2 linked regions of the Macaca fascicularis genome follow. Each later gene encodes a partner of the first gene's protein in a complex. Links are inferred from orthologs where the notes say so. Each region holds a gene or a part of one and is shown on either strand. Other genes may lie near its edges. The genes, in order: SLC9A3 and CHP1.

Region 1 (4,339 bases):
AGCCCCCGCAGCCCCCACAGACACTCAGATGTCAGAAGACACATCCATCCTCCATCCGCACCCACCTACCGCCCACCTGCCCTCCGTCCACCTATCATCCATCCACTCAGCCACTATCTTGCGAGTGCTATTGTGTGCCCAGCTCTCTTCTAAGCTCAGGGGATGCATGCGTGAGCCCCTTGCTCGTGGAGCAGACATTCCCAGGGTGAGGGCAGACAGCTCAAGGTCAAAGCCAGCAGCCCCCAGGGCTGAGAGGTGAGCTGAGCCCCGGCTGAGTAAGCAGGGGATGCGGGAACTCAGCAGCCACAGTTGTGAGCTGAGTGGGTGGGGGGTGGGACAAGAAGGTGGCATTGGAGCCAAGCCCCTGGGGAGCCGAGGAAGGGAGCAGGCAAGAGCTGTCCAAGCAGAGGGAGCAGGGTGTGCAAAGGCCGATTGCTAGTGTGGGCTGTGGCGTGCATGGGGGTGGGTGTTAGGCAGTGGCTGGGGTCAGAGCTCCTGGGGGAAGTTGAGCCTTTCCTCTGAGAGGGAGGGTCCCAATAGGAGGGACTGAAGGGGCAGGCAAAGGGCCCAGCAGGAGGCTTTGCAAGTGGCTGCAGGCAGGCTCTGAGAAGCTGCTGGTTTTGTGCGAATTTTGAAGGTAGAGCACATATGCTAAGAGCTTGGAAACCCCTGGTGAGCGAAAGAAGTCCGCGTGCCTCCCAGGTCTGGGGCTGGAAGGCTGCAGGGTGGGCTTGGAGGAAAACAGGGGTGTGGTTTGCATAGTGGAGTCTGAGATGCTTAAGGGAGCCAGTGCTGCCAGAGTGGGCTGTGGGCAGAGGCCCCGCATCAGTGTGAAGCCCTGGGGGTATCGAAGTGTTTTGGGTGGAGGTCAGAAGGCAGGGGCCGGGGCGTGGAGGCCACAGAGCCTGGGGTGGGGGATGCGGCCGGCGAGGGGAGGGGCAGAGAGACTTCCCAGCGCACCACGCCAGGTCTGGGCGTCCCCGGTTTCTGGTAAGTGGCCGGTCCGGCTGCGGAATGCAGGTTCCTGCTGAAGACACAGCGAGACGTGAGGCCCGGGGGCCCCGTGCACCCTCGGGCCGCCCTGTGAGGTCTGCGCAGCCCCAGGGCCCGCGTTTATGAAGGATTGGGGCGAGCGCACCCGCAGCTGCCCGGGCACCCCACGAGCTGAGCGGACGCCGAGAAGCGCGGGGAACCGCCTGTCCCGCCGCCCCGCGCTGTGCTCCCCTCGCCCCCAGCCCCAGGGAGGCGGTCGCGCAGTCCCGGGCTCGCTCTTGCCGCGACCTCCCGGACCTCCAGGCCGCAGGCTCCGGGGAAGGGTGGGGACTGGGGAGCGCCGGGTGGGCGTGCGCGGGCGGGGCGGGCGTGCCGGGAGCTGCTGCGGTGTCCGCGCTCGCGAGTGCGCGGCGGGGGCGGGCAGGCTCCGCCCCGGGGCGGGAGGGGGCCGCGGGATTAAAGGCCACCCCGGCGGGCGGGGATCGGACTGTCGCAGGCACCGGCACCGGAGCGCGCCGGGTCTTCGCCGGGTCCCAGCCCCGCGCGACGGCCGAGCCCAGCCGGGACCCCCCGCGACATGCGCGTCCCAGCCCCGCACTAAGCAGGCGGCGATGTGGGGACTCGGGTCCCGGGGCCCCGGCCGGGGACTGCTGCTGGCGCTGGCGCTGGGAGGGCTGGCGCGGGCCGGGGGCGTGGAGGTGGAGCCCGGCGACGCGCACGGCGAGAGCGGGGGCTTCCAGGTGGTCACCTTCAAGTGGGCCCACGTGCAGGATCCCTACGTCATCGCGCTCTGGATCCTCGTGGCCAGCGTGGCCAAGATCGGTAGGTGGCCCCGGGGTCTCCGGGTCTGCCCGCGGGGTCTGCGGCCGCCTCTGCCGGGTCTGGGGGCTTCGTTGTGGCCGCGCCCATCAGGTCGGAGCCGGGCGGCCGCGGCTCGGGAGAGTCTGGCTCTCCGGTCCAGCAGAGCGAGACTCGGGAGCGACTCTGGCCGCGCTAAGCCGCCCCTGCGGGTCCCGAGGGTCTCCCCTACCCGGCGGGGGCACAGCCTCGGAGCCCCTGGCTCGCGGCTCCCGGGTCCCTGTGGGGTCTCCGTCCGGCCTCCGCTCCGAGCCCCGCAGACTGTAGGCTGCTCGCGCCCGAGGAGTCCCTGGGGCCGGGTTTCCTTGGGGGTACTCAATCTTTTTAGAGAAACGTCCTTGGAGTGATGGCGCTTTTTCGTGCGTTACAAGGGCAGAAAGGAAAAGCGGTGCCACCCGCATGAAACCCAGCAGAATCCTCCCTACCGGCGCAGCGTTCCCATTGGCGGGCCTCCTTTTTTTTTTTTTTTTTGGAAAATCCCGGTCGGTCAGATTTCTCTTCTCCTTAACTTGCGCCAATGAACCAGTAATGTGGGCACGGCAGGTAGCTCCTGGCAAGGTGACAGGAAGGTCAGCTTCCTGAGGAGCTCGTGGGGATCAAAGTTTCATGTGTTGGCCCACAGGGGAGGGTCTCTCCAGGGGTGGCGGAGAGGTGGTCACTTGTGTAGAGGGGGGATTAGGGGACACGAGTGGGGCCAGGAGAAGCAAGATCAGAGCAGCAGGCGCCGCCGCAGGTTTCCAGAGCGGCTTTGGACTGGGGCGGGGTGGGCAGGGGGCGGCGGTTTGGATGCTGGGGCCGAGGAGGGGCGCCCACGCAGGACAGGGGAAGGACAGGCTTCGGGGAGAACAGCTGAGAGAACCTTGGCCTTGGTGGAACCTGGTACGCCCAGCAGGCTTGATTGGAGAAGGTGCCTTTTCCTTCAGTGACGCCTGCCGCCTGCCCTATTTATGCCAGGGTCTCCCCTCCCCTCCAGGCCCCTTGAGTGTTTGCTTTCTGTCTCGTAAGTGCTCTTCTGAGCCCTCCCGCGCCCTCCCTTCTCTGCAGCCTCCTCGCTTCTCTGCAGCCTCCTCCCTTCTCTGCAGCCTCCTCCCTTCTCTGCAGCCTCCTCCCTTCTCTGCAGCCTCCTCCCTTCTCTGCAGCCTCCTCCCTTCTCTGCAGCCTCCTCGCTTCTCTGCAGCCTCCTCCCTTCTCACCCCGGTGTCTTTCAGCTCCCGGCCTGGGCTGCCTGCTCTCCGGGCTCACGCTGGCCTCGCTGTGCTTTCCACTGGGGGCTTGCGATGCTGGCCGTGGGGGAGTCTCTGAGGCTGGCTGCCTCCTACAGGTGATTTCCTTGAGAAGGTCCCCTGGGGCATCAGGGAGGTCCAGCCTCAACCTGGGCTCTGCGGTCGCCCAGTCCTAAAGCTCACCCTGCTTTCCTCTGACGGGCGTGTCCCGCTGGTGTAAACTGAATAGGTAATTTCTTTTATTTCTTTTCTTTTTTGAGACGGGGTTTCATTCTTGTTGCCCAGGCTGGAGTGCAATGACGCGATCTCGGCTCACTGCAGCCTCCACCTCCTGCCACAGCCTCTCTGGGATTACAGGCATGTGCCACCAAGCCCGGCTAATTTGTATTTTTAGTAGAGACAGGGTTTCTCCATGTTGGTCAGGCTGGTCTTGAACTCCAGACCTCAGGTGATCCACCCGCCTCGGCCTCCCAAAGTGCTGGGATGACAGGCGTGAGCCACCACGCCTGGTCCTGAATATGTAATTTCTGTACAAGCTGGGGCCTCTCCCAGTTCAGCCCCGTGTACAGAGTCAGAATCTGGCATCTGAAGGTCCGAAGACAGCCACCAGGCACCAGCCAGCCCCGCCTGGGAGCCCGCAGGGAGGGCACACTGACCGGGGCTTTGCCTGGCCTCAGAGTTTGTTATTCACCAGGAAAAGCCTTCGGGTCTCCCAGACACTTGGACTGGTTCTGGAAAGACGTCCTTGAGGGCAAGGAGCTGCCGGCTCCAGCAGCAAGTCCCGGGGGCAGGGCGGTCCCAGAATGCATCTCCTGGGGAGCTGGCCCTTTACGAAGGCCCACCCTGATAGCACCGAGTGAGCGGCTGTCTTTGTCCCGGGGTTGTTGGCCCCACCTGGGAAGGCAAGAGCCTCGCCCCGCGCAGCTGTGAGAGCTCATCGAAGCATCCCACCGGCACAGACCTCTCCAGACCTTCCCTCTACACTCGCTGTCATCCCCTCAACCCACTGTCCACGCTGCAGCCCCGGCAGTGACAGCTGAGGTCTGCCCTGGGTCTGCCCTGATTGGCCCCCAGGCTGTCCCACCCTCCATCCCCTCTCTGCCAGCCACACCTCTTGAATGCAGCCCCTGGCCCTCCCTGTGTGCTTCCTCCCCCAACCCCTCCCCTGTGAACTCTGGACTTCTCAGATTCTGCTGGCCCAGACCGTCCTCCTTGTGCAGCCAGCCTCAGGTGCATGACCTGTGTTCCCAGCGGACCCTCACATC
Region 2 (4,436 bases), on another chromosome or scaffold:
AACAAAACAAAACTGTAGTTCTTCAAACTAGAACCTCAGCCTGCAGGGAACGTGTGGGGCCTCAGGCTAAGCTGTAAAGCCTTAGGAACACTTAAAACTAATAACCTAAGTTGACCTGGGAAAGCTTGCTAAGACAAAAATACCCTGGTACTTAGGTTCTAACAGACAGCGGTCAGAATTCAGTTCTTCCATATCTTATACGGGTTCTAACCAAACAGGTGTGAAGGGGTAAGGCCGGTGAAGCAGTAAGAACTGGTTCACCTGAGAGTAGGCACTAATTTAATGGGTGGCTTTTTACTTTTTTTTTTTTTTTTTTTGAGACGGAGTCTCGCTCTGTCACCCAGGCAATGCCGCGATCTTGGCTCACTGCAACCTCCGCCTCCCGGGTTCAGGCAATTCTCCTGCCTCAGCCTCAGTAGCTGGGATTACAGGCATGCGCCACCACGCCCGACTAATTTTATATTTTTAGTAGAGACGAAGTTTCTCCATATTGGTCAGGCTGGTCTCGAACTCCTGACCTCAGGTGATCAGCCCGCCTCGACCTCCCAAAATGCTGGGATTACAGGCGTGAGCCACCGTGTCCGGCCTACCTTTTTAATCAAAACAAACAATACACCATGAGAATAAAATGCAAAATTTCTCATTTTTAAGACAAAGTAAGGAACTTCAAATAAATGGCGGACCATAAGCTAGGAATTCACTGTCCTCCATCGTTAGGGCTTTTTCCTCCGAAGCAAGTTTGGGAAATCTGGATCCTAATTTCAGCCAAGTGGTGAATTCCTCGAACTTCAGTCTAGAACTAAAAGAAGAGGGGGGCTGCAATGAAGGAAAAAGTCTCGGGACGCTCCACGCCACCCGGCGGCGGTTATCAAATCACAGCCTGAAAACAACCTGGAGAAAGGTCCGCGACGCCGGGCACCCACGCTGCAGAGGGGACGCCCGCCCGGCCCAACGTCCAGTCTCGTCTGTTTCCCAAGGAGCCAATCAGCACGCGGCCCCGAGGCTGGCTCCCCAGCGCCCCCTGCGGCCGGGAGGAGGACGGCCGCCAGGAAAGATACAGAGCGCATGCAGTCCCCGAGGGGCACACCCTAGGGTTCCCCCCACGCGAAGTTTCTCTCCGCAATCCGTGCCACCTATCGAGTAGGATTCCTAGTGTTCGATTTCTGTGAGAAAAGGTAGGCTACGCTGCCTGCCGCAGGTTAGTTTGTTGTAAAACGGTTGGTCAATGGAATTGCCCTTTTAATTGCGTCGTTAGCGCCCGAGTGGCATCGCCCCTTTAAGGCCGGTGGCAGCTGCGGTTCCGGGGGCGGGGTCCATCTTCAGCAGGACTTGGGCTGGAGCTGGGCTGATTCATTCGGGGCTGGAACTCGAACGCTGACGTCGACTCCTGAGCCGGGCGCTGCCTCGCGCCTGATTGGCGGGTCCTCGGGGCCGCCCTCCCCAGCGCACCACCCCTGGGTTCCCTCCTGGGTCCGCAGTGGAAACACTGCCCTCTCCCTTCTTGACCCCTAGCCCGCCCTTCCCTCCCTCCTTCCCTCCTGTCGCCCTCTTTTCTGGCGCCGCTGCTCCCGGAGGAGCTCCCGGCACGGCGATGGGTTCTCGGGCCTCCACGTTACTGCGGGACGAAGAGCTCGAGGAGATCAAGAAGGAGACCGGCTGTGAGTTCGGGTTGGGGGTGGGAACGCCGGGCGCCTCAGACTGGCCTCGCAACCGAGGGCGGCTGTCGCTAAGGTCTGGAGCTCGGGTGCCTGTGAGGTTGGGGGGGTCCTGGGCAGCCTCCAGGTTTCGGGACCGAGAGCTGGAAGACCTGTTCTTCCAGCTGCAGCTTCCTGGAGCGGGGCTGTAGCTACTGTGGGGGTGTCCTTCCCTTCAACATCGGGAGTCTTGATAACTCTTAGAGCGTCGACGCCCCCTTTTTCTGCCCCTTGCCCATCAAAGTCCCCGAACTCCTTTCCTTTCTGTTGCCTAGCACCACCCTTCCCTATGAAGAGGCATCCTGAACAGTAGGTAAAGCCCGAGAAGCAAATTCAGGAACTCGAGATGGATTCTATAGAAAATCCATTTCTGGGCAAGGACCTAAAACCTCCGACAACTATGGGAAATTACAAACTATGGGAAATGACAATTCTTGTCACAAATTAGGAAAACCACCCAGAAAGCAAGACCGTGTAGTAAGGCTTTGGGAGACATGACCCGATGCCTGGAGACCTTTCAACAGGGATCTGGGATTGTGAGACTTCTTTCAATCTGAACTTCTAGAGAAAAAACACGGATACTATGAGCACCAGTTTTTTACTTACACGAGGATACTTGCTGGCCTAATTTCATATATATATATATTGATTTCTACTGTGCTGGTGTACTTTTTTATTCGCTATTGAAATTGGATGTGCTTCAAAAATCTCCGTGTGAATTTGTACTAGGAACTGATTTTTTTTTTTTTTTTTAAACGGAGTCTCCCTCTGTCACCCAGGGTGGAGTGCAGTGGTGTGATCTCAGCACACTGCAACCTCTGCCTCCCAGGTTCAAGCGATTCTCTGGCCTCAGCCTCCCGAGTAGCTGGGAGTACAGGCGCCTGCCACCACACTTGGCTAATTTTTGTATTTTTGGTAGAGATGGGGTTTCACCATGTTGGCCAGGCTGGCCTTGAACTCCTGACCTCAAGTGATCCACCCGCCTCGGCCTCCCAAAGTGTTGCGATTACAGGTGTGAGCCACCCTGCCCTGCAGAACTGATTTTTTTTTTTTTTTTTTTTAAATAGTCCAGTCTCTTCCTCATTAGCCTGCACAAAGGAGCAAAAGGACTCTGGGGATTCTGAAGCTCTGTAAAATACCAGCATACCTTTGAATAGTCCTTGATAATGCAATGTATGATACAATTGTATTGATGCATACAATATTTTATCTTTTCAGTAAACCTTTACGATTCTTGTTGAGTTAATGAATGATGTAGCACCTGAGCTCTGTCTCTTCATCATACCTGTCTTTGATAATGAGATGACCAGTAACTCACTCAGGGGCCCATATGCAGATAGTACCGAGGAGTGCTATGGACAACTACAGAATTACTCAGGCCTAGAATATGTTAAGTGCTGTTCTCTGCTTTGTGACAAGTTCAACTTTCTAGAGTTTTCAAGTTGGAAGGGATGTTATCTAGCCCCACCCCTTGCTGGATTGGTTTGCCCCTTTCAGCCTCCCCTAAAATATGGCCCTTAAGCCTCTCTGTAAAGACCTTTGATAGTGATAACCTCTCCACCTACCAAGGCAGTTCTTTTCACAATTTTGAATGACCCAAAGTAGTTATCTCTTTATAATTTGCAGTACTTGTTTGGCCACTGACTTACTCTGACCCTAGGAGTGGAGATACAAGCAGTTTGGATTCAGCAAGCATTTTATTACATTTTGTGGCCATAGCTTCTGGCCACATTTGTAATTAGAACTACTTTAGGTCTAGGGTGACACCGAATTAAAGTATTTGTGTTAAAGAGTCACATGGAGAAATAAGCAAAATGAAAGAGAAATAAATACAGAGTCACTTAACAAGAAAGTGTAAACCATAGTGAGGATGCAAAAAGCCATTTTTGCTTCAGAATGAAGGGAGCGGTAATCCCATTCTGGTTTACATACATTTGACCAAATGGAAAGGGCCTGGATGGGATATTTTTACCATGTGGCTTGTGGAGAGACAACTGAGTGCTCATGGAAAAGCTGTTTTTCCCATTTCTCTCCACAACCAGTGCAAATGTATGTATTGAGCCAGAATGCTTAGTGAAACAAGTGCTTACTGAATTTTTACAGTGTCTGTTCAGTACTGTGCTAGGTACTGAGAGCAGATGGTGACAAAAAAACGCCCACAACCTGGTTGGGGAGATAAGCCCAAGAGAGTTATGATTAGCATCATGACATAAGAAAGCTGAAATTGTGTGTCACCCACCTTCAGAAATCAGGGAAGAGAGCGTCCCTGTGGGCTGTCCTCGTGGAGGATGGGAATTGGGCCTTGATACATGGATGAATGGAGTAATAGATTAACCTAGGGCATTTTGGGTGACTTCCAGGAGAGATACCCCCAAGCCTGCTACAAAGTCATTCCTCTGTGCTGGGAACCATCAGTTTATCCAAATAGTGTCCATCATCAGAGTTGTTTTTTCTTTTTCTTTTTCTTTTTTTTTTTTTTGAGACGGAGTCTGTCTCTGTCGCCCAGGCTGGAGTGCAGTGGCCGGATCTCAGCTCACTGCAAGCTCCGCCTCCCAGGTTTACGCCATTCTCCTGCCTCAGCCTCCCGAGTAGCTGGGACTACAGGCGCCCGCCACCTCGCCCGGCTAGTTTTTTGTATTTTTTTAGTAGAGACGGGGTTTCACCGTGTTAGCCAGGATGGTCTCGATCTCCTGACCTCGTGATCCGCCTGTCTCGGCCTCCCAAAGTGCTGGGATTACAGGC

Evidence for each region.
Region 2: the proteins of SLC9A3 (region 1) and CHP1 are in contact, whole or in part, in a cryo-EM structure (PDB 7X2U), measured with the Homo sapiens proteins. The link is inferred for Macaca fascicularis from reciprocal best matches to the Homo sapiens genes SLC9A3 and CHP1. Residues at the interface, in NP_004165.2 of Homo sapiens: Tyr396, Arg397, Met398, Gln400, Glu402, Arg474, Leu475, Asn476, Glu477, Leu479, His480, Gly481, Arg482, Ala483, Phe484, Asp485, His486, Ile487, Leu488, Ser489, Ala490, Ile491, Glu492, Asp493, Ile494, Ser495, Gly496, Gln497, Asn501, Arg504; in NP_009167.1 of Homo sapiens: Arg30, Leu31, Arg34, Leu38, Lys40, Glu49, Phe51, Gln52, Arg53, Ile54, Glu56, Leu57, Ala58, Ile59, Asn60, Pro61, Leu62, Asp64, Ile66, Phe70, Phe83, Leu87, Phe90, Leu115, Phe117, Ala118, Leu121, Tyr122, Leu135, Leu139.

What each region holds. Positions count from the first base shown.
Region 1 is NC_088380.1:827,645-831,983, reverse strand, and holds the start of SLC9A3 (sodium/hydrogen exchanger 3), read left to right. Parts: upstream 1-1,477; 5' UTR 1,478-1,604; coding exon 1,605-1,815; intron 1,816-3,974; exon of another isoform or gene 3,975-4,115; intron 4,116-4,261; exon of another isoform or gene 4,262-4,339. UniProt on the Homo sapiens protein: Plasma membrane Na(+)/H(+) antiporter. Exchanges intracellular H(+) ions for extracellular Na(+) in 1:1 stoichiometry, playing a key role in salt and fluid absorption and pH homeostasis.
Region 2 is NC_088381.1:17,780,664-17,785,099, forward strand, and holds the start of CHP1 (calcineurin B homologous protein 1), read left to right. Parts: upstream 1-1,445; 5' UTR 1,446-1,591; coding exon 1,592-1,658; intron 1,659-4,436. UniProt on the Homo sapiens protein: Calcium-binding protein involved in different processes such as regulation of vesicular trafficking, plasma membrane Na(+)/H(+) exchanger and gene transcription. Involved in the constitutive exocytic membrane traffic.